3 linked regions of the Schizosaccharomyces pombe genome follow. The gene in region 1 interacts genetically with each later gene. Each region holds a gene or a part of one and is shown on either strand. Other genes may lie near its edges. The genes, in order: SPOM_SPCC18.17C, bit61 and SPOM_SPAC17G6.03.

The links.
Region 2: mutations in SPOM_SPCC18.17C (region 1) and bit61 together harm fitness more than expected from each alone (negative genetic interaction), as found in Schizosaccharomyces pombe (one large-scale study listed by BioGRID).
Region 3: mutations in SPOM_SPCC18.17C (region 1) and SPOM_SPAC17G6.03 together harm fitness more than expected from each alone (negative genetic interaction), as found in Schizosaccharomyces pombe (one large-scale study listed by BioGRID).

The regions. Positions count from the first base shown.
Region 1 is NC_003421.2:1,982,511-1,993,297, forward strand, and holds SPOM_SPCC18.17C (proteasome non-ATPase regulatory subunit), read right to left. Parts: upstream 5,666-10,787; 5' UTR 5,630-5,665; coding exon 4,163-5,629; 3' UTR 3,824-4,162; downstream 1-3,823. Other genes in the region: SPOM_SPCC18.20 (uncharacterized protein), read left to right, coding at 1-209; dph7 (WD repeat-containing protein), read left to right, coding at 862-1,037, 1,084-1,131, 1,616-2,372; riboflavin kinase Fmn1, read right to left, coding at 2,941-3,432; fum1 (fumarate hydratase), read right to left, coding at 6,121-7,590, 8,120-8,212; DNA-directed RNA polymerase III complex subunit Rpc34, read left to right, coding at 10,256-10,491, 10,666-10,787.
Region 2 is NC_003421.2:1,606,903-1,617,270, reverse strand, and holds bit61 (Protor homolog, Bit61), read left to right. Parts: upstream 1-4,507; 5' UTR 4,508-4,706; coding exon 4,707-5,975; 3' UTR 5,976-6,224; downstream 6,225-10,368. Other genes in the region: SPOM_SPCC777.12C (ER stress response thioredoxin family membrane disulfide oxidoreductase), read left to right, coding at 1-61; protein Gta3, read right to left, coding at 222-608; NEDD8-conjugating enzyme Ubc12, read left to right, coding at 1,153-1,243, 1,310-1,405, 1,488-1,576, 1,688-1,835, 2,083-2,192; arg1 (acetylornithine aminotransferase), read left to right, coding at 2,374-2,445, 2,694-3,947; alpha-1,2-mannosyltransferase Omh3, read right to left, coding at 6,245-6,776, 6,857-7,461; SPOM_SPCC777.06C (hydrolase), read left to right, coding at 9,539-9,875, 10,038-10,368. UniProt on the Schizosaccharomyces pombe protein: Component of TORC2, which regulates multiple cellular processes to control cell growth in response to environmental signals. TORC2 is required for cell survival under various stress conditions.
Region 3 is NC_003424.3:3,588,697-3,599,587, forward strand, and holds SPOM_SPAC17G6.03 (phosphoprotein phosphatase), read left to right. Parts: upstream 1-4,341; 5' UTR 4,342-4,358; coding exon 4,359-6,266; 3' UTR 6,267-6,371; downstream 6,372-10,891. Other genes in the region: tco1 (RTA1-like protein), read right to left, coding at 279-1,253; protein farnesyltransferase beta subunit Cpp1, read right to left, coding at 6,501-7,649; bro1 (vacuolar protein-sorting protein), read right to left, coding at 7,776-10,103; rps2401 (40S ribosomal protein eS24), read left to right, coding at 10,407-10,475, 10,545-10,880.

The sequences.
Region 1 (10,787 bases):
ATTGGAATAGAAAAAAATCCGATACTGAAAAAACAAGACCTATGGATATTTTTTTAGTTTCTGATTTCATTGTTTATTATCGAAGAAACATGATTGCCAACTTGATGAATGACTACCGAACTCTTTCAATTCGGGTGTCATGTCTAAACATTAACAAAAATTGGAATTTGAATCGAGCGCTTTATTTATTGAACATCAAAAACACTTGAGTAGATTATCTATTCCTATTCGTACGTAACCTTATATAGATGCGAGACTACCCACAAAGTTCTGAACTTGTTCAAAAATGATTAAGAAAGTTAAGGATTTTGCTCAATAATTGTCCTAAGTCATCTAGCTTTAATTTGCAACGAAAGACTCTGATAAAAACCGACCAATTCTTTCTTCTTCAAGGGCTTTCGTTCAATGACCTACAGATAAATACAGCCCAAATCACCTTACCGCTTGATACATTAAGGTTCAATCACCCGTACATTTGCCAGCCTACAAAATTTCCTTATTTAATTACCCTTTACTACAAATCCCAACGACCGTAGTAGCAATCTTTAAAGATAATAATTTCTTTGAATACGTTATAGTTACATAGCAACTTATCTGAAAGAAGCCGTTATATTTAATTAATTAAACGTATTCTAGAGCACGCTGAACTTTGCATTTTATTGTTTAACGAAAAGAATACGTGTACGTTGTGGTTTGCTATTGAATTAACCAAACGGAAGAAAATCCAACTCACAAACATTGGGATAGTGACGCGGCAAATATAATTACGAGATTCTCTAAAAAGCGTAACCGATCTGATACATTAGTAAACCCAGACAAAGCGAATTTACCAACTTGATAGTACCACTAACTGGCATTGAAATGAGTGAAACTGGAATTATCCCAAAGAGTACAGATTACACGGATTGGCCTGCTGATGTTTGTAAATACTCTCAAGTCTTTGAGGATGTTTTAGTCGTTGGGACATATATGTTAGATGAATCGACAAAATTGCGACATGGAAAATTGGTGCTTTATGATACCAAAGAAGATGTACTGTATGTTAGATCAAAAAATTCTTGAAAAAGTACTAATTTAGATTAGAAAAAGAGTGTTTGACATGCACTGCGATGCAATTTTAGATTTTAAATGGTAAGTTGCCAAAACGGTCAACGAGCAGAAGTTCATCAAAAGAATTAAAAGATTGGCGTAAAATGATGAGGGTTTTTCGCAACCATGTGATTTAGTCAATAATACAGTATCCTGTCGTAAATCTACAGTTCGTATCAAGCCACGGTTTCCCCTTTTGACTATACGCTTTCTTGAGCTCATGCTATTCACACCTTTGTTTTGAAGGCTAGTCAAGAAGGTTTATTTCGGTGTTCAAAAGAAAGCGTTTCTAATCAGTGGTGCAAGTAAATAATCCGTAGTCGATTTTTTAAACGCGGAAAAAGGGAGTAATTATACCCATATTATTCCACAACGCTCTCCTTTTACCTTTTCTTCGTTTTCTCTAGTATTTTCACTCCATCATTGAACCTCGCCTTTCTCCTGATTCTCAGTTGTTGCTCGACGCTTCATGGATTATACCCCGTGGTTTTCTTTTCTCGCGACTTGATACTAATTCATCTTATAGGTCTCCTCATGATGCTTCTGTATTAGCTGTAGCTCATTCCACCGGCCACGTTTCTTTTTATCGCCATCAATTTCGAGCAGAACTTATGTTTTTACGTGGTATCAAGGTGGCCGATTCTAGCGTCCTTATGCTGTCTTTGGATTTCTCGGACAGCGGAAAGGAGCTAGCGGTCTCTATGTCAAACGGAAGTGTTCTTATCATCGATATCGACTCTGGTGTCATTAAAAACAAATGGAAAGAGCACGATTACGAAGCTTGGACGTGTCATTATTCTCGTCAAGACAATAACCTCCTTTATTCGGGAGGTGACGATGCTGCTCTTGTTTGCTATGATCAAAGAATCCCCAATTCATGTATTTGGAGGGACATTCAAGTTCATCATTCTGGTGTTGTTTCCATCCTCTCTCGAGCCCCCTTTGGTCCTTATATTGCTACTGGCGAGTATGGAGATTTTATGCATACGTTGGATACCCGAAATATTGGAAAGCCACTTTTTAGTGCTAATCTGGGTGGTGGTGTATGGCGTCTTGAGCACATGGAGACTACTGAAAATTATCATAAAGTCCTTGGCATTTTAATGCATCGTGGTGCTCAAGTTTTACGAATCTCTAATGATTTTAGTTCAATTGATGCTAGCAAACGCATTTTTAAGGAGCATGAAAGCATGTGTTACGGAGGAGACTGGCGTCACACCGATGGTCTACTTGCTACTTGCTCGTTTTATGATAAAAGAGTTTGCCTTTGGGAAGATATTTAGCATGCATTCGTTTGTTTAGTAGACTTTGGGGAGGAGAATAACGGGCATATTTTTTCCTTTTTCTTTTTTTGCATGTTTGCTATACAAAATTTGTGTAGAATAACGTTGTTCATAATCGTTACTTTTCCATTTCTTTGTTTTATCTTTACAAACAGAAAAAATGATCATTTACGTTCTTGTTTTCGCTTCTTTTTCTTACTTACTGACTCTCTTCCACCTGTCTCTGTTCCTTCATTGTTTTTTTTTTTTTTTCATTCTCATCCGACCAAATACTATCGTTCTTTATAATCAATGAAATACAATAAATGTTTATTAAAATAAAAAAAGTTTAAGTACGATTATGGCAGTACTATTGTGTTCACAAAATTGTAAATCTTTACAGTCATTGCCATCTGAAATTAACAAAATGTATTTAAAAAACAAAAGCCAATCTAACCAAATACTTATTAACAAAAAGGAAGAGAAATTAAAGAAGGAATAATACAGCAGGATTTATTAAAGCATTTTGGCAGCGGCAAGGATGAGTAAAAGTACACAAAAAGATTTCTTTTAAGGATCTTATTGTATTTTATACCTTGAAAAATGGGTCCTTCTTATAGCTAGAATAAGAAGGACGATCCATGCTATTTAAAGCAACTCTAATATCGGTGTGTATATCTTCGATTAATTTATCTAAACCGGCATAATTTAGCTCAGGCCTAATGTATCCCAAAACAATAACACGCATTATTTCTTCGTAAAAATCTTCACCTTGTCTTTCTATGAGATGCACTTCTGCACTTCGTAGCTTGTTTTTATAGTACGGATTCCATCCAACACTCATCACCATGGGGAATACTCGTTTTTGTACCATAGCATATCCAAAATAAACACCAGAATCTCTATATCTAAGAAGCTCTTGAATTGCATCTTCTGATATATTTGCAGTTGGAATTCCAAGCTCTTTTGAGCCTCTACCAAAGCCATGAACAACTTTCCCTTCGAAGCGAATAGGATAAGGGCTTTGCACCTTTTCAGGACCAACAATTTCAGGCCTCTTTTCTTCTAAATTAACTGTCATAGAGTAAATCAAAGGTTGCTAGCGCAATTGGAAAAATACTAGTGGAAGTAGGTAGTTAGTAAGCGTAGCTCAGCCTAATGAAGAGAGTCATGTTGGACAAATATTTCCATTACGCTTATTTTAAATTAGTTTAGTTGATATCTATGAATAACAAAAAAATAATAAAACAATTGGTTCATCAACCATTGACCATCAATGGTTAAATCTCAAGGTTGGTAATAACCACAAATGCTCAACGGTTGTTTAACTCTATTATGAATTCGTAAGTTTAATAAAAAACTTGCGTTTGATATTCAAGAGGAATTAAAGATTTAACCTTAATATAATAGCGCTTGGTATTCAAGCAGTTTTACAGCGCTGTTCTGGGCACAAAATAAAATAGTTATTAATTAAATTTTTTGAGAAACAAGTAGACAATTGCATAATTATTAGATTGACAAAAGGCCTTGGGTGGCATCCATAAATTCCGTCCCCAAAGACTGCCAAGTGAAAGTGAAATTGCAATTCATAAAAGCTTTCCATTTGTGAAAATATATAGGACTATAAATATCCATGTTAAGAAACTAAACACTATCCCTATAGCTAACAGCCATTTTTTTTTATACATCATATTTCAAAAAAAGCGGCATACGAACCTGACGTTTAAGGAAGTCGAAAAAGAGGGAAAATTTTGCTTGCTGTAATAATAGAAGAAAGCAAGATTTTTTGGAATATAATAGTTGTAAACTACTTAAGCAGTTTCTGCGGCCACTTTTAACGTTGAAGCACCGCTAACAATCGGCCCTTGCTGTAGTCTTTTAAGAATGTCTTCCCGATATCTACCAAAAGGTAGCTTGGGTCCGCCATGAGGAGATTCCATCATGGTCTTTAACACTTGAAACCGCAGTAAGCATGTTTCATGGTCACCTTCTGCTTCAAGTAAATGACGGATAGCGAATCCTTCAGAAGCAATTTGGATAGGCGAATTTTGAGCAATGTGTAGCAAGCATTGGTATGCTAGTTGCCTAGAACGAGGAATCGGAGAAGAAGCAGTGTTTACTAAAGTGCTCAAGGTGTTGGGAGGTAATATTCTCCAAAGCTGCATCCACAAATTATGATCAGGCTGTAAAAGAGCATGAGCAAAAGAAGACATACCCGGTTCGTCCATCAAAAATCGTCTTGTCAACCATCTTGGCACATAACGATTAGCTTCGTCCTCAATGCCATATTTCTTGATAAGTGCTTGAGTTACCACTGTGTTAGACAAAAAAACTCCGTAAAGAAGAATAGATGTAGCATCGTTCGTCTTCATTCTCTCGCGAACAGCGTCAAATAGTTGATGCTTCTCATCCAACGAGTTAATAGCGTCTGGATGCAATTCGCAGAGCCTGGGAAGGAACTTTAATCCAATATGATCCGTATAAGAATCCGCTGAACCTTTGTAGTCTTGAGCGATCGTGTCCAAATACTTTGTTTTTTCAGAACTTATATACTCGTATGTAAAAGGAGCCTCTAACATTATCCCAAGGACATCCACGAAATTAATTTGAAGCAATATGTCTTTATTGTCACCATTAATTACAAGCTTGTCGTCCTTAATCAGTTCTTCCAAATATTCTGGAGACTTCGTAGACAGTTTTGCGAACAGTGTCAACCAGCGTACCCTCAGCGTAGAGTTCATAATTTCATAGTCAACAAATGTAAAACGCTTTATAATTAAATTAAAGTAGTATGGAAAATCTGCCATATCGAATAGCAAAACAGTAGCTTCTTCGGAAACTGCTATGCTTCGAGAGTTGATGCATGCCATAATCGCCTCAAACAGTGGTTCACCAATCTCCTTCTTTTCCCAATTTGCACGGCGTATAAGGTGCAGACAAAAGATTTCGACATCTGTAGAAGGATGTTCAAGTCCAGTAACCAAGTAAGATTCAATTCCAAACTTTTTCAAATCGGCCCAACTCATTGGCTCAAGCAGCTTACCCAAAGCCTTCATAATCGGCTCGGTAGGTATTGGAAGCTCAAAACAACTAAGTATGGTATCCAAGAGTCCTAAGCATGATGGCCTTGTAGCAGGCGTTATACTTTCACGGAACGCATCTATGGCATCAGGGATTTCACGAACGATAACCGACGGGTTTGAAGGGAGATCTTTCAATAACTGTAATAGTCTTCTACCGGGTCCTGGTAAGCCTGGTATGAGTTCTATACTATCCATTTGGCTTGTTTTTAACAGATCCCGTATATTGGCGATGGATCGGCTGAAATCAGGCAAGAGGCAATTTTATCTCGTTTAAGTAAGCTTAATTTTAACCGAGCAACCGAATATCAAGGAAATACACATACAAAGAAAAGGGTATCAAACACCTTTGCATTCTTGGTTTACGACTATAACTGTAGGGGTGGAAAACAAAGAAACACTTAATCAAAATTACGCATTAATCTACTTCACGAACTAACCATTTTTTTTAAATGAGTGCCTACTATTTTGTTTGAGAGCCTATGGCTTGTGCAAGAAAAAAAAACTCATTTAACATAATGGGTATTTTTGCAAAAAAGCTAGTTAATATTATGAGAAGGGGAATGATTTTCGTAAAAAGTAAGTTGAGAGAAGATAAAAGAGAAGGATGGATAAAGAGCATGAAAAAGGATAAAGAGCAACAACTGATGATCCAATATTAACGGACCAACAAGTAGAGTGGTAAAAAATTATACTTTCTTAGCTGAAATCATTAATTCAGGGCGAACCCATTCATCGAATTGCTCGGGGGTACCGAAACCCAAAGTAACAAACTCGTGCTTGAGAGTGCTCTTATTTTTAAGAGCAGTCTTGGCAATCTTGGCACAGTTATCATAACCGATGTGAGGATTTAACGCAGTAACAAGCATCAAGGAATCACGAAGATGACGGGCAATACCTTCGTAATTTGGCTCAATGCCGACAACGCAATGATCAGTAAAAGACTCGCAAGCATCCCCTAAAAGACGAATACTGCTTAGAATGTTCTTTGCTAAAAGAGGTTTAAAAACATTGAGTTCACAGTGTCCGGAGGCACCAGCGACAGTAATAGTGGCATGATTGCCCATTACTTGAGCACAAACCATTGTTAAGGCTTCACATTGGGTGGGGTTTACTTTGCCTGGCATGATTGAACTTCCAGGTTCATTAGCAGGAAGGATCAATTCGCCTAAACCACAACGAGGGCCAGAACCAAGTTGACGAATATCGTTAGCAATTTTCATAAGAGAACAAGCAATAACATTTAAAGCACCACTCATCTCCACAATCGCATCATGGGCTGCAAGAGCCTCAAACTTGTTAGGGGCGGTCTTAAACTCAATATTTGTAAGCTTTGAAACCTTCTCAGCAACCTTCACGTCAAATCCTTCAAAAGTATTTAGTCCAGTACCCACGGCAGTACCACCTTGAGCGAGAAGACAAAGACGAGGAAGAGCGTTGTTTATGCGCTCAATGCCATAACCAACCTGAGTAACATAGCCGGAAAATTCTTGACCTAAAGAAAGAGGAGTGGCATCTTGCATGTGGGTTCGACCGATTTTGATAATGTTCTTAAACTCCTCTTCCTTACCCTTCAAGGCCCGGTGGAGGTGCTTCATGGCAGGAAGTAAATGAGTGTGAATTTGCAAAACAGAGGCAATATGCATAACAGTGGGGAAAGTGTCGTTAGAAGATTGAGACATGTTAACGTGATCGTTTGGATGAACGGGCTTTTTCGAACCTAACGTACCACCAAGGATTTCTATGGCACGATTAGCGATTACCTCGTTACTGTTCATATTGGATTGGGTGCCCGAGCCAGTTTGGAAAACAACCAAGGGGAAGTTATCATCCAAACGACCATCAATGACTTCTTGGGCAGCCTGTTCAATGGCATCTGCAAGTTTGGGATCCAAACCGAATTCACGATTAACAGAAGCAGCCGCACGCTTTAAAACTCCAAATGCGCGAACTAAGGGAAGAGGAAGTCGCTCTTTTTCACCACCAATTCGAAAGTTTTGAAGAGAACGCTGAGTTTGAGCACCCCAATACTTTTCTGCAGGGACTTGTATGGGACCAAAGGTGTCAGATTCCTGTCGGAACTCGCCATGCTTACCGCCTTTGGGAATGAGATGATAAGTCGGAGTAGTGGAATTCATTCTATGAGTTTTTAGAGGTAACTAAAAAATAAAAAGTTAGTGTCATACGCAAATTGCATAAATCAATAGAGTAAAGCGAAATAGATGTGACTCAACCGCTGCATCTTGCTGAAACCGCGAAAGCTGGAACTCTGTGCCACGCCATTGTTCATTCGCAAGAGTAGATGGAACCAACGAAAGAAACAGAAAAACGAAGTGTATTCTTCAATTTCTTCAGCCGTATTCGAGCATTACAACAAAAACAAATGCCGACACATCAAAACACTGAACTTATTCTTTTCATAATAATATTTCGTGGTGTTAGTGGATCATGCGTTTCAATGGGATAACGCACGACTAAACAAGGCATATCACAAGAGTTATGGAATGAACGGTTAACAAAACGGTTAAACTAGCAAGTAGTCATTTAATAAAAAAAGAGAGAAAACAAGTACGAAGAGCAACTCTTCTTTTTTTAATAGGTAACTACTTCGCAACATTCATGACTTTTTCTCTCTCCAACCGATTTTCACGGAGTCTCATTCTAAAACACAAATTACAATTTACTTACACCAGTGAGTGTTGGGGTAATCAATCTTCTGCAAGGCAAACCGCCAGCTCGAAAAATCGCTTTAGCCGTGCTGATGTGGGCAACAGAAGCCATGTGGGTTATTTTAAAAAGAAAATTATACTCTTCTGAATAAGGCAAATTTTACGGGGATACGGACAATTATCACCGTTACAAGTAGTAAACACTGAGATGACGAACAACCTATCGGAAACCTGAGGATGGAACGAAATGGAGAAAACTACAAAACCGATAAGAAAATTGAAAAAAACAGTTTTGTGTATTTTATTTATCCAAAAGAAAGATGGTTTGCAAGTGCTCACTTCGGTAGACCGGTGGTTATGAGACTGATGGAACGGGACAATAACTACGGCAAAGATAGCAGGTACAAGGGGAGGACTCTGAACAAAGTGGAAACAACGTACTTCACAAACGATTTACGAAATTTACCTAAAATAAGAGAATTTGATACAAAACAAAGCCTTTTCCATTCAAAATTGGAAAACGCACAAGAATTACACGATCTTAAGAGTATATGGTAGAAAGTAGAATTGAGTTTCACTGAATACGCGTATACACCGGCATTCATTCCGCGTTACTATTTGTTACCCAGGTTGCGTAAGGTTGTGAGCTTTAAGATAAAGATGCGTTACAGTTCAGTATATAGAATAAGGATTTATGTAAGGGTGCATAAAAAAGGTAGTAGGTGAGTACACAATTCATTGGTATAGCAGGAAGAAGAGGAGAAGGATGAAGAAGAAAAAGAGGTTGCTCAGATAATCAAAAATAGAGAGAAAAGAAGCAAGACTTTTTTTGTTCGTATGCGTAATTTTTTTTTACTTGTAATGAGAGCTCACCATTTGCACAAGTTTTGCATACTATAATAATATCGCAATTTATAGGAATATAATCAAATGCAGTAAATAAATAACGATCTGTAAAAATGATTATAAATGCATTTGATTTACCTTCCCAATGGTGAAATCTCCTTTCTATGCATTAAAGATCCTTAGACGATTTTATTTTAAAATCAGAAAATTCCTTTCAAACTTCATTTTCTATTTCTCTCTTCTTATACAACTAATTTTTAGTAGCCAACAACTTACAGCAACGTTGCGACGCATTCGCAATTCATTTTAGCATATTGATTTTCCGCTTCTTTAAACGGTTTCCTGGTGAACATGCAAATCTGGCATTCCCTTGACTGGACATATTAATGGAAAATTAGTTAATAAACTGCTCTAGTTGGTAGATCTAGACGAAGCGATAAACGTTTTTGGTTGCTTTGAACATTTTATTTTGTGTTTTTCTTCTTGGATTCATTCATGCCTCTTTTTTTGAGTGGTTGAAAATCAAAATTTTTTCTATTAATATGAATATTTTTTTTAGCTATTTAGCTTAAAATTGCATAGTTATTGGTACATTTGGAAGTTGAAAACGCCAATTTTCACTTGTTTTTTCTCAACTAGTTTTCAATCGCTAAAAACTTTCGTTCAATGTCGCAAAAAGCCTTTTTCTCAACAGTAGCCCTTTTCAAATCATTGAAATTATCCGGTTTTCTTTAACATCTTTAACACTATCTTCTAAAATGTTTTCTTTCAGATTTCCCTTGTATCTCAAATGTCTATAACATCCACATGTAATTTGCGCCGTATTATCATTTTCTCTGTTTAACGGAAGAACCAAGTTTAATAAAATGGATCCAAGTTTTTTAAAATCAATTAATAAATGAACAATATATCTCCCTTAACTGACTTTCATTCAGATACCTCACTTCCATACATTCCTAACAAACCTCTATTAAATAATATTCTACTCTTACTATATGTTAAATGCCTAACATTTACCTCTTTTATAAAATTCATATTACTATATTGATGATCTGACAAATTGAATATTATTATAATAGAGAGCCAAGTTTTCTTAATTGTCGCCCTCTGCCACTCCAACCGAGGTGGTTTTTGGTTGATGAGGAGAGCCTCGTAAAAGTTGAAAATTTTTGTCTCTTCTTTTCATTTTTAGTTTAAAATAATTTATTATAGTATATTGGGTATATTGGAATACCATACAACGCCCAAAAATACTGCGGGCAAACGTGGTTAAACCCTCAACAGAAAACTTTTATCTTTCACTTTCAACATGGCCGACCAACTGCGTACTCTTCCTAAGAATGCCAAAGTTATATACGAGCATTGCTTAAAACAGATCCCAAATTCGCTTTCACAACAGGATTTAGTAGAAGCGATTGGCGCTTCGATATCCGTGAACGATCTTAGTAGTGCTTTAAATATCCTTCTAAGTCGGCGACTTTTGGATCCTTTGCGGCAAGGAAATGTTCTCGTATATCGGGCTGTTCGATTGGATGAAGCTAAAACGTAAGTCGGTACTCACCGAAAAGTTTAACTGTTTAAGCTTTTCGTTGTTGATCAAGTTTTAAATGTCAGAAACTCAATGCATTTCTTGATCTCTTATTGTAGTATAATATAAAGTTTTTACGCCAATTTTAATCATGATTTTTGTTTTGTCAATGCTAACATTCTTCTTTTTAGTGTTTCTACCATGGAGGGCGATGAACAAATCGTGTACAGTTTTATCAAGAATTCTGGCAACGAGGGAATATGGAGGAAAACCTTAACACTAAGGACTAACTTGCATGTTTCTGTTGTTGATA
Region 2 (10,368 bases), 380 kb from region 1:
CAAAAAAGCGAAACAAAAACAAGCCGCTGCTGCTGCCGCCGCCGCTGCAAAAAAGAAATAAGCTATGTGGAAAATACTATTAGTTTTTGATAATATCAATTTTTTGAATAATTATACGAGAGTTTGTTACATGTTCTATATGTAAGGCACCGCTCTAGTAAAGGTTTATACCCTATTTGTTTCATTCCTTCCTTTTTTAACAGAACGTAGATTTTCCAACCTTATTGCTTGTTTGGAGATTCATTAGAGGAATCATCTTTTAGCTTAGAATAAACGGCAAAGTACTGCCCGTCTCTTTTCTTAGCATTCTGAAATACATTCCACGGCTCTTGATCGGGTAATGATGGTAGAGATTCCGCATTAATAGCATGATTCAAAGTACGAAATGGTTCCTTAATGAAGGATGTATCAAGTCTCTCAATTGCATGCATTTGAATGATTCCTTCGTTGAGTTTTAGAATTGTTCTTTCATTCTCTTCCTTAGAGTCTGCTTCACGAAGACCAACGAGCCTCAGCAAATGACCATACTCAGTTAAGCCAATTGGTTTGGGTGGATTTCCTTGGAGAATTCGTTTAAGTGAAACCTTTGAAGGTTTCAAAAATGGCATAGTGAAAAGGAAAATAGAGCTAATTACAAGAGAAAAATATAGTACAGGTTAAAAAAAAGATTCAATCTTAAACACTTTGTAAGTTTTTCAAATGCTTTGAAACAGCTGTCGAAGTTGTAGTCGGTTCCTACAATTTAACGACTAGGTTGTAAGTCTGGGTTTTTTTAGAATTAATAGTAAAGGAATATATTAAATCATTCGGTAAGTAAAGTCAATATAATCAGCTTCTCTAATTAGGAGAACTATTTTTCATTACTATGATAACCGTTTCCCATTCCCTAAATTTACGACATCCTGCGATGTCTGTATATAACTTTACATAGCAGTGTTCCAGTACGTAATATTGTTGAATGCTTGCGTAGAGTAACGACTTTATTAAAATTGGTTATTGCAATTGAATAAGGTAATATAAAATGCCACATTATTAGCACTTTAGGTGTCTACATGTTTCGCTATTTTTTAATGATGTATGAGAGTATTGTTTATACCCAAAATTGTAAGCGCATTTTCCATCCTTCTGCCTATTACAAGAATCGCGTAAATCATGAGAAAAATTTGGGAATTAAAAAAGAAAGAAGCTCAAAAAGAGAAAAATGCGTCAGGGATTAGTCCAGCACAAATCCGAATCCAAAAAGGTGCGACTCATCATGTTGATAACTTTTCGCGATTTACTCGAAACTAACCATTTTCGATGAATTTAGACGTTACAGATTTAGAAATCCCATCTACGATGTCTACAAGCTGGCCAGATCCTATAAAATTGAACGTGCTACATTTAGAAATCCGGCCTGACGAAGGTAAGTTTGTGATTCCGCATGAAAGAATATTTGGTGTAGACTTTTTGAGACTATTATTTTTTATTTTGATTAACATGAAAAGGGTATTACAAGGGTGGGAAATTTAAATTTCGAATCCAAATCGACGATAATTATCCTCATGATCCTCCTAAGGTTAAATGTCTAAACAAAGTATGTCAGTCATGCTCTAAATTAGAGTTGCAGCTTATGGTATATTTTTTGCATTTAAGAAAATAACCATTATAACATGTTTTGAACCCTTTCGTTCTGACCTACTGTTAGATCTATCACCCAAATATCGATATTGAGGGAAACGTATGCCTCAATATTCTGCGTCAGGATTGGAATCCAGTGTTGAATTTGAATTCTATTTTGGTTGGATTGCAATTTTTATTCTTGTCACCAAACGCAGAAGATCCACTCAACAAAGGTAGGTTAATTACAATTTTTTGGGGGGCAATGAACTATTTCTTGTTATTGCATTACAAGGAAATGATTATTCATCTCTTAACTATCATTTGATACTCATTTTTTCTACGATCCTTTATTATGGGATTTATAAGGTTCTTTACTGAGGACAATGATTATGATAAGCAATTTTAATATAAGAAATCTGGTTTGCTCCTTAACAAATTTTCTAGATTTATTTAACTATACTAACAAACGATATCTTTTAGAGGCGGCGGCTGATTTGCATAAAGACCCTCAAGGATTTGCATCTCGTGTGCGTACAGCCATGAAAGGTGGTCTTGTGAATGGAATTTCTTTTGACAATGTCATGGCTTAATTTTTCATCAATCTAAATCAATTCGATAAAGATAACCGACATAGATTAGACGACTGTCATGAAAATATTGATGTGTTTTAAATCTCGCTAAATCAGTCACGATTACGATGAACTTCCGATATCAGTATAAAAACACATAACCAGAACCAAACCCCCCTAATAAGCCCGTAACTGCTTTACAATGTTTCAAAGACGATCACTTCTCTCTGTTCGTTCGTCTGGTTCCCAAATCGCCTTTCGTCGATTTGTCAGCGTAAGTACAAGTTTGTTGATAGAGTATGCATTGTAAGTGCAACTGAACATACGATGGCAAATAATTAGACTATCATCTAATTCTGATTGTTTTCGAGAATTCTGTACTTTGCTCTTGTTTTTAGACAAGTATTGATGTTGAGAATGCTTCTTACTGACCCAACAAAATAAATCTTCATTTGTGCTTTCATACTGCCTCATACAGTACTAATTTTAATATTTCTTAAACTGCTTATTAACCAAGTTTAGCTTACCCACAAAGATCCAACTCCTGATACAACCAGTTGCAATATTATCAAGAAGGAAGGGGCGAATATTATATCAGTTTATGCACGCTATCCAGTCGTAGCTGCTAAAGGTGAGGGCTCCTATTTGTTTGACAAGGAAGGTCGTAAATACATTGACTTCACCTCTGGCGTAGCTGTTACATCTTTGGGTCATGCTCATCCTGAAGTTGCTAGACTTGCCGCTGATCAATGCTCCAAATTAGTCCATAGTAGCAACCTTTTCTACAACGAGCCTGCCATTGAGCTATCTAATGTCATTAATAATTCTTTGGCAAAAAATAGCGGTATTGCTGGCCCCACAAAAATTTTCTTTGCCAATTGTGGTACTGAGGCCAATGAGACAGCCTTGAAGTTCGCTCGTAAGGCAGCGTTTGAGAAGTATGGAGAAGGGAAGAGTCAAATTGTTTACTTTAATAACTCTTTCCACGGCCGTTCTTTGGGATCTCTTAGTATCACTGCGAACCCCAAATATAAACGTGGTTTCCAACCATTACTTCCTGATGTCGTCCAAGCCGTCTATAATGACCCTGCATCCATAGAGCAATTTGTCAATGACAAAACTGCGGCTGTTATTGTCGAGCCCGTTCAAGGTGAAGGTGGTATTTGTCCTGCCAAGCCTGAATTTTTGATTGCTTTGCGCAAGGCCTGTGATAAGGTTGGTGCTTCTTTAATCTATGATGAAATTCAATGCGGACTTGGTCGCAGCGGTGATCTTTGGGCCCATAGTATCGTTAAGGATGTCGCTAGTCCCGATATTATCACAGTTGCCAAACCTTTGGCTAATGGTCTACCTATCGGCGCCACCATTGTCTCCAGTAAGATCGCTGCTGAAATTCACCCTGGTGAACATGGCAGTACTTTCGGAGGTAATCCTGTTGCTTGCCGTGTAGGCACATTCTGTGTTAATGAATTAGGGTCATCCAAGATTCTACAAAACGTTAGAAAGCAACACAAGGCTCTTACTTCACGTTTTGATGACTTTGTTGCCAAATACCCTAATCTTATTCGTGGATATGCTGGTCGTGGTCTTCTTCTTGGTTTGCAATTTACCGAGCCCCCTGCTAAATTTATTGAGCTTGCTCGTCAACAAGGTCTTTTACTCTTACCAGGTGGAAACAACAACACCCGTGTCCTTCCTAGTTTGAATGTTAAAGATGAGGTTATTGCTAAGGGTTTGGATATCATGGAGAGCACTTTGAAGGCTTTAAGTAAGTAAAAGTGTATGTTTTCGTAGACTTGGTCATTGAATGGATTGGTTATATAGTGCGATAAAAAGTGATTATTACGAGAAATCTTGTTCCTCGAAAACATATATTAACCTTGCTCTCATTTGCCAACCAAAAAATTTTTTGATAGGGGGGTTACGAAAAGCTTAGCTGGAAGCTTTACATTGTAAATACTGGTTTTCGTTATTCCCTTTCTTTTCATAATCAATTTTGTTTACATTTTTTGTTAGAAAATTAGATATATATTGTTGTTTTTCATCTACTAAACTGAATTGTCGTAATATGTACCGTAAATACTCTGTCAAATGATAGTAATTCACAAAATCAATGTTTTTTTACTGCGTTTTCTATTACTAACTTTTAAAAAGTTATATAGCAAATAACATTCCATGTTTTCTTTTAGCATTAACTATTTTTTTCTTTGGCATACAATTATTATATCAACATGCTATTCATTCAATTCACATTAGAACGATATCGTTATAAGGAATTCTTAATCAATTTTTCGTTTCTATATTTTATCTTAATTTAAGGCGCACATCGATACTTTAGCAAAATACCACCATATTCAAAAATAAACAAAATTTTTTATCTTTCTAAAAAATATCATTTTTTTAAGTAAGTTTAATCATTTTATAATGATTGAACAATGAATATCATCTCATGCTTATTTTGAAGAATCGCATTTCGCGTAACTAAAAGCAAATTTCTTGGATACCCTCAGTACATTTCCAAAAATATTACTAAAGATGGTAGGGAGGGGATCTTTTTCATCTACCTCGAGCGCCTCATCCATTAATTGGATTCCAAAAAACACTAAAACTAGCATTGAAAGTGTTTCTAACACTATTTCGTTGTCGGAAAATGGGCAGAACCAAGACTTGGAGACTGTTACTACTAAGGAATCAAACGTTGGCGACTCTGACACGACTGAAAACATTAAAAGTCCGTTTAATGGACAATGGCCATTTAGCAGAAGATCTAGTCAAAGTAGCAGTCATCCGGTTTTTGAGGAAACACATTGGAGTAAGCATTCCAAGCGCCCAGGAAAGTTGAACGTTTTAACGCCTACTAGCCCTTCTAATGTTAATGCCGAAGTTCAAAGTATTTCTACGAAAACTCAATTATCGCTGCTTAACCTCTCTCCGCATAAGCATAAAAAGCCTAAAGATGGTTTAGATCTTTCTGCTTTGCAGAAAACGCTCAACGGGTCTCGAAATTTCTTAAGAGGAAGAAGAGACGCTGGGGGAATTTTTGGCGCTTCCATCCCACAATCACTTGTTACAAATCAAATAATCAATGGCTTCGGTGCAGCCTCTCTTGCATTTGCTAAATTGGGCAAAGTTCGCTCTCCTTTAGAAGGTCGCTTTAACCTGGTTCCCATATCCGCGGATGAAACTTGGCTTATTGTGGAATCCGAAGTTTGTAGTTTATATTCGGGTGAGGCTTTGCACTATTCTCTTGAAGATTTGAATGGAATTCTTATATTACATTTACAAGCTCTTATCCGTGATACGAAGATGAATGAGTTTGTTGGACACTTGGAGACACTATTCCGTAAGGCTACCAAGTGCCTTTCGGACAGTTTATCGCCTGTTCCAGAAGAATTATTTTTGAATCGTATCATAGAAACATGGCTGTTTTTCTTTTCTTCCGTATTGCCATACGTTCAAGGTGTGTTTTTACCTATAAAGACAAAATTGTTTGATGAACAAGAAAAAACACAATTACCCTATGAAGTAAATGAGTTTTGTTCCACAAATAGGGAAAAACTAAATGTCCATCGTCTTGCATTGATGACATTTCGCGATTATATGGTTTTGCCAATTGCAAATCGGATACAAATCTGTATTGGGCGTGCCGAATCTGCTGAAAATGCTTTAGATAATGCAGGAGAGGTGTTCGCTCGACTGTTTCAGATATTAAGTTTGTTGGCAAGTGTACGAACGAACGATTCCAAGGAACAAGAAATTACTAATTTGGCAACTAAAGTCAGATGCCTGTTGATAGCTTCCTAAATTCATTCTTAGATTTTTTATATTATTTTTCCTTTTTAAAATCGTTTCAGTTTTTTTTTTTACCTTCTTATTTTATAGGGTCCACACTTTTCAATATTTGCAAATTGTTCTAAAACTTAAAAAATTTGTGTCAATACTTGATATTCCCAGTCTTTTGTTTTCATCATTAGTTAACGATCAGCTTTTGTTTATGTCCACAATAAATATGTTTTTAAAACAAATATCAAAAATAAAATAGGTAATCTCGGGAATTACAAGTAATATGTATTTTAACTATTGATGTTTTCTAACCATTTAATAGCACAAGAGAAGGGTAAATAATCAATCGTACCAGTCGGATCGCATAGACATCTAGCTGTCGCATGCGACTGTACATCCGTAGGGCAATGGTACCAGGGTAAATGGTAATAACCAAAGTCCTCAAAGTAATGTATTTGCGATTTGTTCAGAAATAGCGATGCTGCCAGTGAATGTACGGGAGCATCCCCCCAGCGCTCGTAAAAAAATCCATAATTTTTATCTAAGTGCGCAAAGTAGTCTGTGTATGCAGGACTTCGAAAGAAATTTAAATTGGCAATTTCAAAATTACTCCAAAAATGGCAGAGATTGTAGTCACCACTTAACCCCTGGTGGTCATTAACGATAAAATCCAAGGAGTTATTTTGTGCAAGATATTGTGGGTTTTGGTGAATAAAATCTCGAGTAACGTTCCATAAAGAAGGGAGGGTTTCATAATAATCCGTCATTGATATGACAAACCCATACGCCTTATTCTCGTCACTCAACTTTCGAAAAGGATCACTTAAAGAATTGGTTAGTGACAAAATTCTATCATATTACAAAAACAAGAGTTAAATAGTCAATTTTTCTTGTGCACTTACTAAGGTATATCGCAAGAATATTCAACGCCGGGTTCAACGCGCCAGTAATAATCATAATGTGAAAGGGCTTTGTTTCGATAAAAAAATCCTGAATTGAAGCGACACATGATCCGATAACTCAGTGAAAATCCATATATTACTTTGTCATCGGTCATATCCCGAATTGATTTCAACATACGATTTAAATCGATGTTTATAGGAATTCCCCACTCTTCGTTGTTGAGTTGGACATAGGTAGCATCCCCACTCACCATTTTTGAAGTAGCTGTTATAAATTCTTTAGTAAAAGGGGCATCATTCATAAATGTCCATGGGTAATGATAGCGATGATTGAACCGATCCTCGACGCTTTGTATGGAAACAAGAGCGTCCTTAATGTCTCTATTACGGCAAAGCATAAACAAAGTAGCGTTCATATTGGGCTGCTTAGGAAAATAATCTGAATCTGTCAAGGATGACTCTCCTCTTTGCTTTGCTGTGGCTTTTTTTAGAAATACATACTTGACTTTTAGTTCCTTAGGCCCATCTTTAGAAGACTGTAAATAGAATGAAATAATGCAGAATAATAGTATACAAAAATAAATTGATGATTTGGGTATGCCCATGTTGAAGTCATGAATATGGCCCCCTTATATTAGGATTTCTTATTAAATCGCGGAAGTTTTTTTTTTATTGATTGTGAATGAACTTTATAACATGGTTCGATTGTGTAAGATACGCCAGTTTGCAATATTTTCGCAAGCAATCAATCTGATATGAAATAACTCGTTGGACTAAATCAACATTAGATTTGTAAACAATCAGTAACAATTTTGGTTTATAAACGATCATTTGGGAATGTTTTAAATTTCAGCTTTTGCTAATTCCAAACAAAGTCTTTAGAAAGATAGAGGGATTGTTTTTTAACTGGTTATGCAATATACAGCTCAAAACTGTTCCACTCTTTCACACTTTTTCTCTCTTACCTTCTAGTTAAGGATACCAGAACAACATATATTTAAAATTATTTTCCACAATTGGTAACTTCTAGGCAAAGGTAAACGATTCGAGATATACTGTAAACGTTGCTCGAAATGAAATAATCGTCAAAGGTTGGAATATCCATATTTGAACAAGTATGGTTGGTGTAGCGGATTGTCTTACTGTACGTTATTCGATAAACATTGAATAGCTTTTTTTTTTTAACTGAGGTTACGCAAAGAAACAATTTAATGGAAAGTAGTTCATTTTAAATACACTCAATTCTCGTTTCTTTTTAACAGCTCCGTCCATGGCAGATTAGCGCCTATAATAATGAATAACCCCAAATAATTTGCATAATTCTGAGAAAGTAGTTTTGCTAGCTAGTATCCTAGGTTCACTTTTTTAGTTTTTTTAGTACAATAATTTTGAAGCTTTACCAAAGATTCCACCATAACATAAACAAATATTTAAACTCAACCAGCTCGAAATTCAGTAACGCGCTCTACCATATTTTGGAATACATATGAACTCTCTTGACATTAATCTTGGGAATAGTAGTTCTTGAAAAGTCATAAACAGAGGATTTAGGTTTTCTTGGTGATTTCTATTAACTACCAGCTAAAATACTCGGCTCAAACTGTATGATGGCAAGTATATTATACTACACTCGCTTCGCAAATACCTTATGCTTGATAAAGTTTTACAAGCGATGAATGATTTTTTATTTTATTTTCTTTATTTTTATTTGTATTTTATATTCATTTAATATATGTATATATTATTAATTTATTTTACTTTGTCGTAGTCAATTTTTTTTTTATTTTACAGTGATTCATTGCTTCTATAATTTTTAAAACAATCCAGAATATTTAAATTATAGTGTCTAGATATAACAAATGAATTCGATATCTCACGAATTGATTGCTATTATATATACTTTGAAAATAGCAAGTGAACTTTTGTTTTTACGAGGAATTTTTCTTTACAATGTCTTTTTTTCCTTTTTTCCATTACTTTCAAAGTTTATTCAAAATCAATATTGTTTTACTAATACTGCAACAAGCAATGTATAGTAATCAGCAGTTACAAATATATCAAAAATTGTTATAATAATTCATGAGTGTGTAATTCAGTAATTAATTAAAATATTTGATATCCAATTGTTTATTTCGTAGTATTTAGAAATTCATTCGTAGTCGCAACACATCTAGTTCTTAAAAGATGTTTTTAAATTAAATATTTCGAAAGTTTAATTATTGGTTTACCAATGTTTTGTATTTGCATTTACGTTGTCTTAACGTACAATTAAAATTTAATTATTTTATGAATTTCATTTACCAATTGATTTTATACCGCAGCGAGGAAATAAATAATCGCTAAACCGTATATTGTAAAACTAAACAATTCGATATTAGAAAGATTACGCGATTTTTATCATTCGTTATTCAGTGATTATTAATGCGCGGCAGGCCTTGAAATATGTTTCTGCAAATTTAAACACTCGCTATCCATATTTTAGAATTAATTTTTCATTCATTCAATTGGCAATATATATTATACTACCAATTGATTTTTTTTTCATATATCCTAGTTTTGTTTCAACTGGGAAGAAATCCAAGTAGTGAATTCTTGGAAATTTAGTCGTTCATTTGAAACGTGTGCTTATTGACGAGGTATTGAAAGGTGAATTATTCGGAAATCTCTTTTATACCGGATAAGATGACCAAGGGAACAAGTAAACTGCTTTTCATGGGGACTGGTTGCTCTAGTGGTATTCCCAATGTATGTTGTTTGACACTTGAAAAACCAACTTGCCGTACTTGCCTCGCAAGTTTAACACCAGAAGGTCGTAAAAATAACCGGTTTAATACAAGCGTGTTATTACAGGTGGATGATGGGAGTGGAGATCGTCCAAAAAACATCTTAATCGACTGTGGAAAACATTTTTATGTTAGCGCATTGAAACATTTTGTGGAGCACAAAATTCGATATCTTGATGCAGTCATCTTGACACATGATCATGCAGATGCCATCAATGGAATGGACGATTTACGAGGTAAGAATTTATGATGAACATTGCTAAAGATAATGGTAAATTGTATCGCATAGGTCTTTAATTGTTATGTGATTATCGTGGTATAAACCATTTTTTTTTTACTTTAGACGTTGTTGATTACTTTAGACTGTTGAAGTTTACTAACCGTTTGTTGCATTGTAGAATGGACCTTGGGCTTTTTACAACCTTCTGTCAAAATATACCTAACTGAAAGAACTTATAAAGTTATTGAAAGGTCATTTCCCTATATGGTTAACGCCAAAAATGCTACTGGAGGTGGAAGCGTGCCTACTTTTGACTTCCACGTCTTTTCTCCAGACAAACCATTTAAGCTCGACGATATTGACATATCTGTTACTCCTTTACCTGTTCATCATGGCGTATACTTCATCGAAGGAAAGGAAAGTCAAACCTATTTTTGTATGGGATTCCGAGTTGGCGATATGTCGTATATCTCTGATTGTAACTACGTTCCTCCTACGACTAAGAAACT
Region 3 (10,891 bases), on another chromosome or scaffold:
GGGATTCGTCGTATCAGTAATTTTTTTTTTTTAATAAAAAATAAACACACTCGACGTCTTGGTATTTAACACTGCTTCAAACTATTTTCTCGAAATAAGTAATGCATATTGCAAAGCAATAAATAGGAGAAGAAATGTCTCATCTAAACATTTTGTAGAAATTATAATACGGTTGTAAAAACAGACATTAGTGAAAACGAATAACAAACGTACTAGAAATTTGACACGTAGCGGAAACCATGCATGCGAATATAGATAGCTCACATTTATAAGAGGTCTTAAAGCTCCTCAGAGGAGAAAGATTTTTTGGGATCCTTGGGTGCCAAAAATGAATCTGGGTAAATAACAGCAGACATATTGGTGATATCGTTTATAGAAGGACCATATTCCGAAGGGCCATACTCCGAGGGAGCGTATTCCATAGACGAAACGTGCTTTTCGGTGAAAGGCAATTTGCTTCTCTCGAGAGCAGGATATAGAGAGGGAATCAAAAGGGCCGAAGTAAAAATCATCGGGATGAAATCAAATATATCGAACCATACCTCATGAGTAATGACCGCACCTTCCCAACCTTGTGCCAACTCAATAACACGATAGACGGAACGAACTACCATTGCAAATGTTGCGAGGGCTAGACAATTACAGGACATAGTTCGAACACGAGTATATGGAACATCTGGTTCCCTTCTGCCAGTGGAAGGACGAATGGGATGATGGGTATATAACGCAATGAAAAAAATGGAAAACAGGATAGAAAAAACAACAATGGTAAAAAGTTGGAAGCAAATACCGCCCAACATGATTTGAGAGCCCTGAGTTTGTAACTGAGAACCACTGTCGGCACCACCGGCAACACCACCGCCAGCAGCCTGAAGAATAAGAGCGATGATATCAAAAGTGATAAAGATGCCTCCATATAGCTTAGGAGATAAAACGGAAAATCGAGGTCCATACAAAAGAACGATGTGATGAAACAAAACGTAAGCCTGTGCAGAATAAAAGACTGGTGCGATAATTAAAGCGATGATTTGACCCAAGAAGGCGTTGTAGTCATCTGGATTGTACGAAGCGTCTAACCTACAAGCCCATCCAGCCAATTCACCAATGGTACCGATAATAGGGACGATAACGAGCCATTTTCTCGTGAAAGCAAGACAAGCAACGTGAAGAATGAAAGCGATACTAAAGAGAATGACAGCAAGGATGGTGACCCAGTGGGCAGGGATATAGCCGAAAGCGTTATCGTAATACATGGTAACTAATATGAGAAAAGCGAAAAAAAAAGAAGTGTATAAGTGAAAAGAGAAGTAAGAATTTAAAAAGAACTTCACTCAAAGAAACAAGGGATCGATTAATTTGTACAACAAGTCAACTCAGTTCAACTGAAATAAACGGAAAAACGGAAAACACGGAGAATGCTGTTATGCGACAAGATCATTCACTAATAAATAAAACTTTCATCAATTAATACGCAATGTTAAAGTGTCCGGTAGTCTTCAGCGACATATGATGGCGGGAAATAAAAGCACAAAATAAAGACACGCGACAATAACGAATAAAAAGATGAAGTAAAACGTAAACAAGGCGGATTCGCAATAAATAGTGAATGGCGGCACAGTGGGAGAAAATGAAAAAGACACTGGGAGTAACCTTAAACAACGGCTAGCTACGGACGCAAAAATATTGTAGCCTGCTAAATTCTCGAACAAGACGACGAAAACAATTACAACAATGAATGTGCTGGAAATTGTGGAAACAAGAAAGAACTCTCTGCCAATTACGCAAATGTACTTGGAATTCTTAATAACACCGTTGACCCTGTCTAAGTAATTTCAAACAAGTAATTCTTCAGTTTATGTACCAGTGTGTGGCTTATGGAATCTTTTTTTTCTTGATATTGTTGAGTTTTACCTTCCTCGGGGTTTGCAGTTCCGAGGACTAATTGCTGTCTCACCAATACCAAGCTTTTCCTGCTTAAATTTCAATTCACGAAGATACTCTATTTTCAGTAGTTCCATTTCAATGGCAGAGGTATTTTCGTTTGGAAGAGTCATTTCAATAAAAAGCTAGTGCTGCAAGCATAAACGTAATTTGCCGGTGAGTTTCAAACGATTTAATCGTCGTTCGCGTTCCCAATTGACGCTTGGAATGAAAAATAATAAATTCATAAAAAGAAAAGTTATTTTAGGAAGTTCTTTTTTGATATAGCTTGGCTCTTCAGTTAGCAATGCAACGAAAACTGATTTTGCGAAAGTGTCACACTTTGCTTTTGACAATGTCGGTTTTGCATTTGTAATCAGAATGATGCATAGGAACGAGATTTTGAATTGTCCGACTCGCAGTACAATAATGATAGGCATTGGAAACTGCGTAAGACTTTACTCTCATATTACTCGATAAAAATTTTCCTTTAGATTTTTTCGGACACCGTGGAAGAAAAATTTCTGATATTTTTTTTTAAAGCCTCTTAAATTGACATGACTTAAAGCATTGAACTATTAGCGTTGACCTGAGCACTGATATGAAGTTGACGACGAAAAAAGCATGAAACTAAACGTTACTGTTCCATCACTAGTATGAATGCGTAGAAGGCTCACAGCATTAAGGCTTTTTTTTGAATTTTTGATTACATTTCTATGAACTATGCTAATTTTCTAACTTGGGGAATGATAGGAAACGTTTTCCTTTTAATATGAATGATGAGTGAATAAGACGACTTTTTGCACAGGTGGTGCAATAAAGAATGCCCCTAGTTTTGTGGCTTCAAAATATCGTTTGATGGGATAAATTAATTAATTAAGTAGAATGAATGGAAATAGAATGTTTAGCGGAAGTTTCTTTAATCGCCATAAAATTTACACAAATCATTCATTTGTTCCATACCAAATGTCACTATAAGTTGACCGATACAAACCATGACTAGATGAATTGGCGGAAAAGCAGGTTTCAAATAGAAGAAAGAAAAAATGTGAAATTAAATTTTCCTCTTTTGTATAACCCTCTTTATTAATGACCTGATATTTCGTTTGAAGTGGAATATGAGTTTCTTCTCCTTCTTAAATTTTCGTCATGTATTGTACGAAACATATCGTTTGGACATTTTAAATCAGTTAACCATACTGAATGAAAGAATAACCGAAGTTGTATTTAATCATTACAACATATCCATTCTTTTATTACCTTTTATTTTTATTTTGAGCTCTATTAATCCTTGCTATATTATGTACATAATCGTTAGTATGTTACAGAAAGGATGGGTGTCCGAGTGGTTATGGAGCTGGCTTTAGGTGCGTTCAACGCATTGCACGCCAGTGCGAAAGCTCGCGGGTTCGAGTCCCGTCCCATTCAATATTTATTTTTTATATTATTATTTTAAATCGGTATATGAGTTTATTTCTTCAAGCTTGATGGAGGAAAAAAAACCCTGTTAATGGCTGCTGTTTATCTTTAAAAAGTTCTTTAAACAAAGTAAGCTTAGAGTGTTATTGATACTGGCAAACGCAGTCTTCATGAAAGAAATAGAATGCTCCTTCTTTTAACGGAAACGCAAATTGATACATACTCCTTTGCAATATTTACCCTGGTTTTTACTCTTTTTTTTATGTTTTAAATTCTACAAAAAATCTGGCTTTTCCTCGTATTGCAATTCATACATATTTATGGTATTACGAATACATCGTTGCGGGATCCCAATTCTTTTAAGAGACAATGCTAATGCCAGATTCAATGGTTTTATTTATTTTCATGAATGGAAAAAATGATTTTTTCCTTTTCAAATTTTTTTGCATTACTATAAAACCAATTTTTCTTGCTTAATCATTTTCTTGAGCAACAATGACAATATTTTGTTTTTGCACTCTTCTCTGGTGAATAAAGACAATATACGTTTTTCGGAAGGAATACTTCTGGTTAAAAGCGTTTTTCTCTGTGATAAGGTTATAAATATTACTTACAATATTGCATAATATTATCTATTATCGTTCGTCAAACCAATTCCCCACACATTGTCAATTTACAATTCTTCTTTTCTTTTACTAAATACTTATGCCCAACCGGAAGTTAAAGGCATAACATAAGTGTAGTGTTTCACTAAAGCTTTTTAATCATTTGACGATCTCAAAATCTTGCATTTGCGTGCTCGTTTTGCAGACGTCGCAATTTTCATTTAGAAATTTTTGATTAAAAAAAATAGGCGACTACGAATTCTTTTTTAAAACTCCCATGACTTTTGATGGAAGCAATGATTGTCATATTACGAAGGTTTGGCTGGCTACTATTTGCTGCTTGTGACTTGGTACTTGATCTTCTTATCTTGGCGATTCTGCACTTACCCTATATACTGGGAACCAATATTTATTATGAAACCTGCCCATACATTTTCATTAATTTTCTCTCTTTTATTTGTTATCAATCCTTGCTATTCAGCAACTTTGCCCTTGGCAATTCGTCGGGAATTGACATGGGGTCAAGTCAATATTTTACACACTACTGACATCCATGGCTGGTTAGCAGGACATGCGCGAGATAAACGTTATTCAGGAGATTTAGGAGATTTCGCTTCTTTTGTTCAACATATGAAGCACTTGGCAAAACAAAAAGACGTTGATTTACTGCTAGTAGATACCGGCGATCTTCATGATGGTACGGGCCTGTCAGATCTGACAGATCCCCCTGGTAGTTGGACAGATTCATTACTTGCAAATATGGATTATGATATTCTTGTTGCTGGAAATCATGAGCTTTATCTCTCAACTGTTGCAAATGATACTTATCATAATTTCATTCCTCTGTGGGAAGGCCGATATTTAGCTGCAAACATTGACATATATGATGAACATGTTTCTTCTTTTGTACCCTTTGGAGATCGATATGCCATCTTTTCTACACCCCACAATGTTAAAATCCTTGCGTTTGGATTTGTAAACTCATTTTCTGGTGCTACTGATACGGTTCGTGTCCTCCCAGTTTCGCAATTCTCGCTACAGCCATGGTGGAACGATATGGTATCAAATAAAGACATCGATCTGATTCTGATTCCCGCTCATGTACCCGTTCACAATGCCTCAGAGCTTGATATCGTTCTTTCAGAGCTTCGGATTCACTTCCCTACCACTCCAATACAAGTACTTGGTGGTCATTCCCATATTAGAGATTATGCCATTTACGATGAAAAAGCAGTGGGAATTGAGTCAGGAAGATATTGCGAAACAGTTGGTTGGGTCTCAATTAACGGCATTCCATCCTTCAAATCGTTGGTCAAGTTATCTGGGATTTCTTCTTTAATGGGGGTGGAATCTTATCTAGCTGAGCGCTTGAGATTTATAGGCGAAAGTATTAGACGGTCATCTCAGCAGATATTTTCCTCTTTGCAAAGTGCTAAATCTGCCAGTGTCAGCTTCTCTCGTTCCTATATTGATTGGAATCCCGAGGGCTTTATGTTTCATTCGAAAACAAAAAAGTCTTCTTTCAATACCTCACTTGGAGAATTTATTTCTAATGGCATTTACGAAGCTCGGAAGGCACTTGGCTTACTTACTCCTATAGGTTGTTCCCCAAAAAAGTTTGCATTTTCAGAAGTTCCATTTAACGATTCAAACTCAATTTATCATCTATTTCAATCCGAACTTTTTCCAAAAATAGTCGTCAATGAGTCTCGACATCACATTCCTCACTATATTATTGTAAATTCGGGTGGCATTCGAGGTGGTCTAAATTCAGGTGCCTTTGGCTTAGACGAGGTCTTTCAAGTCTGTCCTTTTAAAAGTAATATATTCTATGTTTTGAAAGATGTCCCATGGTCGATTACTAAGTACCTGCCACAAGCTCTACAACACAGTGGATATCTGATTGCTGAAGATACTCTTCAAATTAACACTCCACAAGTTTCTGATGCAAAATTTGAGGACTTTTATGAACACTCCATTCGCAAGACATATGGATACACTACACACGATGATTTAGGAGATGACGGAGATGACACTGCTCATCTTACAACTCCTCATTATGAACCGCTGCGGTTTATTTGCTCGCAAGTTGGATTTGATGATTCTTTTTCTGGAGACGATAAGCAAGTTGTTGACGTTGTTGCTCCATCATTTGTTATTCCACGCTTAGACGACATTTTAAATAAAATTGCAGATAAGCCTTTATATTCACCTGACGATTGGGAGCTTTACTTTACGAGACCTGACGGAAAGCATTCTATGACTGATTTGTTACCATTATATGCAGATCTCTATTGGGACCACGATTGCCTATATAAGTAAAAGGCTATGGTTTATTTCCTTTAGTAAGGATTATTCTAATGACATTAATGATTTTAAAGATAACAAATAAGTCAAGAATTATTATTTATTCAACATGTGTAAAAATGACGAAGTAAATACCTGATAGAGAAGTAAAATAGGCATGATATTAAACTCGGGACATAAACCGTTAAAATAATAAAAAAAATCCTCTCATGAAAAATTAAAGTCCATAGACAACTCATAAATAAACCATTAGAATTTTGATGATTCTTGTGACAGAAAATATGATTTAATTCTTTCTTCAAAACCAAAAGGAACACAGTAAATTGGATGAGCCGGTAATAAAGAGCTTAAAGAGGAGTGTAAGATGGAAGGTTTATAGGACCAACCATCAGAAGTGTGATATCTGTAGTCATAAGCAATTGATGATAACCCTAATAGACAATAACAAGTATGATATTGATCAGGCCGTTTTGGTGGTTTGTCACGTAAACCGCCGCTTGTACTCTGGCAACATTGAAGAATATATCCTAATAATTTTTCTGGATTATAAAAAAGGTTAGGCAGGCTTTTATGAGAAGCCGAACCATAGCCTGAAGCCACAATCACATGGCTAGCACCGACCCACCAACTATAACAACCATCCACTAGCTTGTTAGAGCGACCGGAAAATCCGTAAAGAGCAGGATCTTGACGTTGTACAAGCCAAGTGCTAAGTTTTATTTCATTTAAATTGTCAAGACCTCCCAGCAAAGCAATTGCGGCAAGGGCACAAAATGTATATCCGCCATGAGCCTCGGCGTAAGGGACACCTGAAAGACCTCCCTCATAAGTTTGGCACTTGCAAAGCCATTGCAAGGTACCCTCAAACAGAGGATCGTCCATACTGATTCCCACTAAAGAAGAAACACATACAGCTGCATAAACGGATCGAGCATCCGACTCTCCCTCATTATTAACTCGAAACGAACCATCCGGATTTTTTAAAGAGAATAACCAATCGTACAAACGATCGCGCTCTATCAAGGAATATGCGTCGGTGGAGTCACAAAGACATATACTGAGTATAGAAGCATAAGTACTCAATAAATGTTCATCTTGTCCATTCCCACCACAAAAACCACCACTAGGCCCTTTCAACTGTCGCACACTGCTAATAGCCCGTTCACAAACAGAGCTGTCAAGTTTGCCTAAAATTGCCAATGAACTTAGTTCCCAATAAACCATCCAAGCCCTTGATGCATCCAATACTGTAAAGGGAGAAGGAAGAGGATCTAGCATTTTGGTTAAATACTTAAGATGCTTTTGCAAATTGAACGATTGACTCTCGCCGTTCAGCAATGGAAGAACAGCTGTAGCCGTTTCGTTTTGCATAACTTGCGTTTCTGATAATTCATCCATCTTTACTAACTTTAACGAAAGAGTCCGCTCACCAAAAAGCTTTATTAATTATAAAGTTGTTGGACTGGTTTACTTAAACACTAGAAGACAAAGAACCTAAAGTAACAGCCAAATTGTTACTTGGCGCTAGATGTGAAGGTTTCGCATATTAGAGGAAATACTTGTATGAGAGGAGCTCGAAGATGAAAGTTTTGAAAGACATGTGGCACCCTGTTTCCTTCTTAAAAGTAATTGCTCTCCTAGGGTCTTATTAATTTCGGCAAGTCTCTGTTCAACAGTTTTATAATATTCAAGGCCCTTAGATACACCTTCCGATATAGCTTTAGCCGTAAGAGAAGAAGAAAGCAAATTAGAACATAACTCTTTATTTTTAGAAAATTGGTTATTGTATACTTCCATCTTTCTCAAAAATTCCGGATTTTGTTTCAACTTTTGTGTAACATTTCTCATCTCATTCAATAGTAGTTGCTGTTGCCGATAAGATGCATGTAATCTATTTCGCAAGGGGTCAAACTTCTTTAATTCTAGTTCAAAAAGCTGATTGGTATCGAGTGCAGAGTCCTTCCGCTTACTATTTTGCATGAGAGACTCAGAAATATCATCTTGCAAACACTTTTGCTGTAAAGCCTGTAAAGTGGTCTGCCTTTCAGGAACTAACTTTTGAACTCTGGATTGCAATTCTTCTAACAAGTCAAGCTGTATTTTCATATCGCGCTCTTGCTCCTCCTGCTCAATAGGAATATCAAGTAAGCTTTGACCAGAATTATCAGTTGAGGAAATGGACGATTCTAGTAATGCGCTAATTTTGGAAGAGTTACACAACGTTTCTACATCATCTTTTACTAAAGCATATTGTTGGGATATAGCGGAATCAGTAGCGGAAGCCTCTGCCAAGGTCTTCAAGTAATTGTTGAGTTCACTTTGATAAGGAGCGGCAAACTCTAAGCTATCTGATAACGTCCACGAGGGTCCAAGTTTCGCCTTCATCTTGGCATTTTCATTGGCTTCCACTTCTAAGTCACTCTTAATTTTCGCTATAATTTGCTTCAACTTTGTGGATTTTGCAAACAACTCGTGAATTTTAAAAGTAGGATTAAAAGAAATAAGTTGGGAACGAGCTTCTATAAGTTCTTTCGGAATAAAGTTCGTTTTGGAATCCGAATGTGTGATTTCTTGAAGCCGGCTAAGGTCTAAGGAGGCGAAAACCGTTGCCATTTGGGTGTTTTGTCGTTCTACTTCAGCTTGTTCAGCGCGAAACACTTTGGCAGTCTCCTCTGAATACAGCGAACTGGCGGTCGTAACGGCGCTAGGCACAAAGGCCTTGAACAAATCATCTCCAACAATTTTTTTTGCAGTTTCAAATCCATCTTGACTTCCATACAATTTCTCTAAAGGAAGTGGTGGTAGAGCTTGCAAAGGAGATATTTTTGGGAGCTCAACTTCCTTGACTACAAGATCATGAAACACAAAGTCATTATCTTTCTCAGCAGTTTTTAACAAATGAGACAAGGAGGATTTGATGAAGGTAGAAATGGTCTGAGGATAGTCAGAAAGACTAGGCTTATGAATAAAATCAGTACTCAACTTTATACCATTGAATAACTTTTGAGCAGACGAAAGAATTGACTTAGCTTGTTGTAAATATCCAATAGCAAGCCCTTGTTTCGATTTTTCCAACTGAGCGCGTGCCATAAAATAAGAGGAAAATCCCTCAAGGGCGGCCTTTTTGGCAGAAGCAAGCCGTATGAAATTGGGATTGCACGCCGGTTCCATAGATTCAAATGCGTGTACACAGCTATCATATAAAGTAGCTGCCGAACTAGCAATCTTTGCAGCCAACGAATAGTTCATGTTAGAGTCACTAGCTGAAAAAGACATATGTCCCAAGACACACTCCTGTGCTTGACCCAAGAAAAGATTGTAAATACCTAGTAAAAAATTGGAATCTAAATCTCTTCCAGGTGCATGAATGAAAGATTCGCGTAAGAGTTTGGCAATACCGCTAGCGCATTGTAAACAATTGGCGGCCGCCTTATAATCATCCACAGTGTAAGCAGATGCATGATTAGCAGCCATTCGGGAAAGCAATGAAACCAAATTGAATAAAACCGATGCTTTTTCAAAGGCAAGAGAAGATTGCTTGACGAAATCTGCATCGGGATCTAAGATATCGCTCCACTCAAAAGAAATGTTGATTCCATTACCACCAGTGGGAAATCGGAAAGACAAATAGTCAAGTTGTCCGTAATAAGAATACAAAATATCCTTACCAGCAACTGTGTCATCGACGTCTGCTGCGTTTTCTCTCAAAGTGTTGAACGCCTTAATTTGATCTTCGACATCAACACTATTTCCATATATTCGAGATACGAACGTAGTAAATGGCTCAACCCAATCTGAATGCTTTGTTTCCTTTTTATTTAAGTAAAAAAAAGGAGTAGCAAGTTTCTCCATCCTTTAAAATTCCTTATAAAAGAGCCAATGCCCCTATAGTTCTATGCACTCGACAAGCTGACTTAATTGACTAAATTCAGTCAAGCCAACGATGCACTAATCCTCGTTAAGACAAGTGAAGGAATACCTACATAATTTTCTATTATATTTACAAGTCCCTTTGATCTCCTTAAAGCAATATACCGTTGTTTGTGTAGTTACTCAAGTATTCACTATTCTTTCTTTGTACCACATCTTGTGACTGCCTTCTTTGGGGTAAAATTTTGGAATTCGTGGGCGCTAGATAGTTGTATTAAGACCAATATGAGTGAGGCGGTTACAATCAGAACTCGCAAGTTTATGACCAACCGCTTGCTTCAGAGGAAGCAAATGGTATGTATTTTTTTGCTTATAAGTTCTTTACGATCAGACGTGGCATATACTAACATGAGGGCGTTTTAGGTGGTCGACATTTTGCATCCTGGCAAGGCCAACATTTCCAAAAACGATCTTCGTGAAAAATTGGGTCAAATGTACAAGACTGATGCAAGTGCTGTCCAGGCATTTGGTCTTCGTACCCATTATGGTGGTGGAAGAACCACTGGTTTTGCATTGATTTACGACGACGTCGAGGCCATGAAGAAGTTTGAGCCCCATTATCGTCTTGTCCGTGTTGGACATGCCGAGCCTATCCAAAAGGTTGCTCGTCAACAACGCAAGCAACGTAAGAACAGAGGCAAGAAGGTCTTTGGTACTGGCAAGCGTCTTGCCAAGCGCAAGTCTAAGCAACAAGACTAGGCAATCTTATT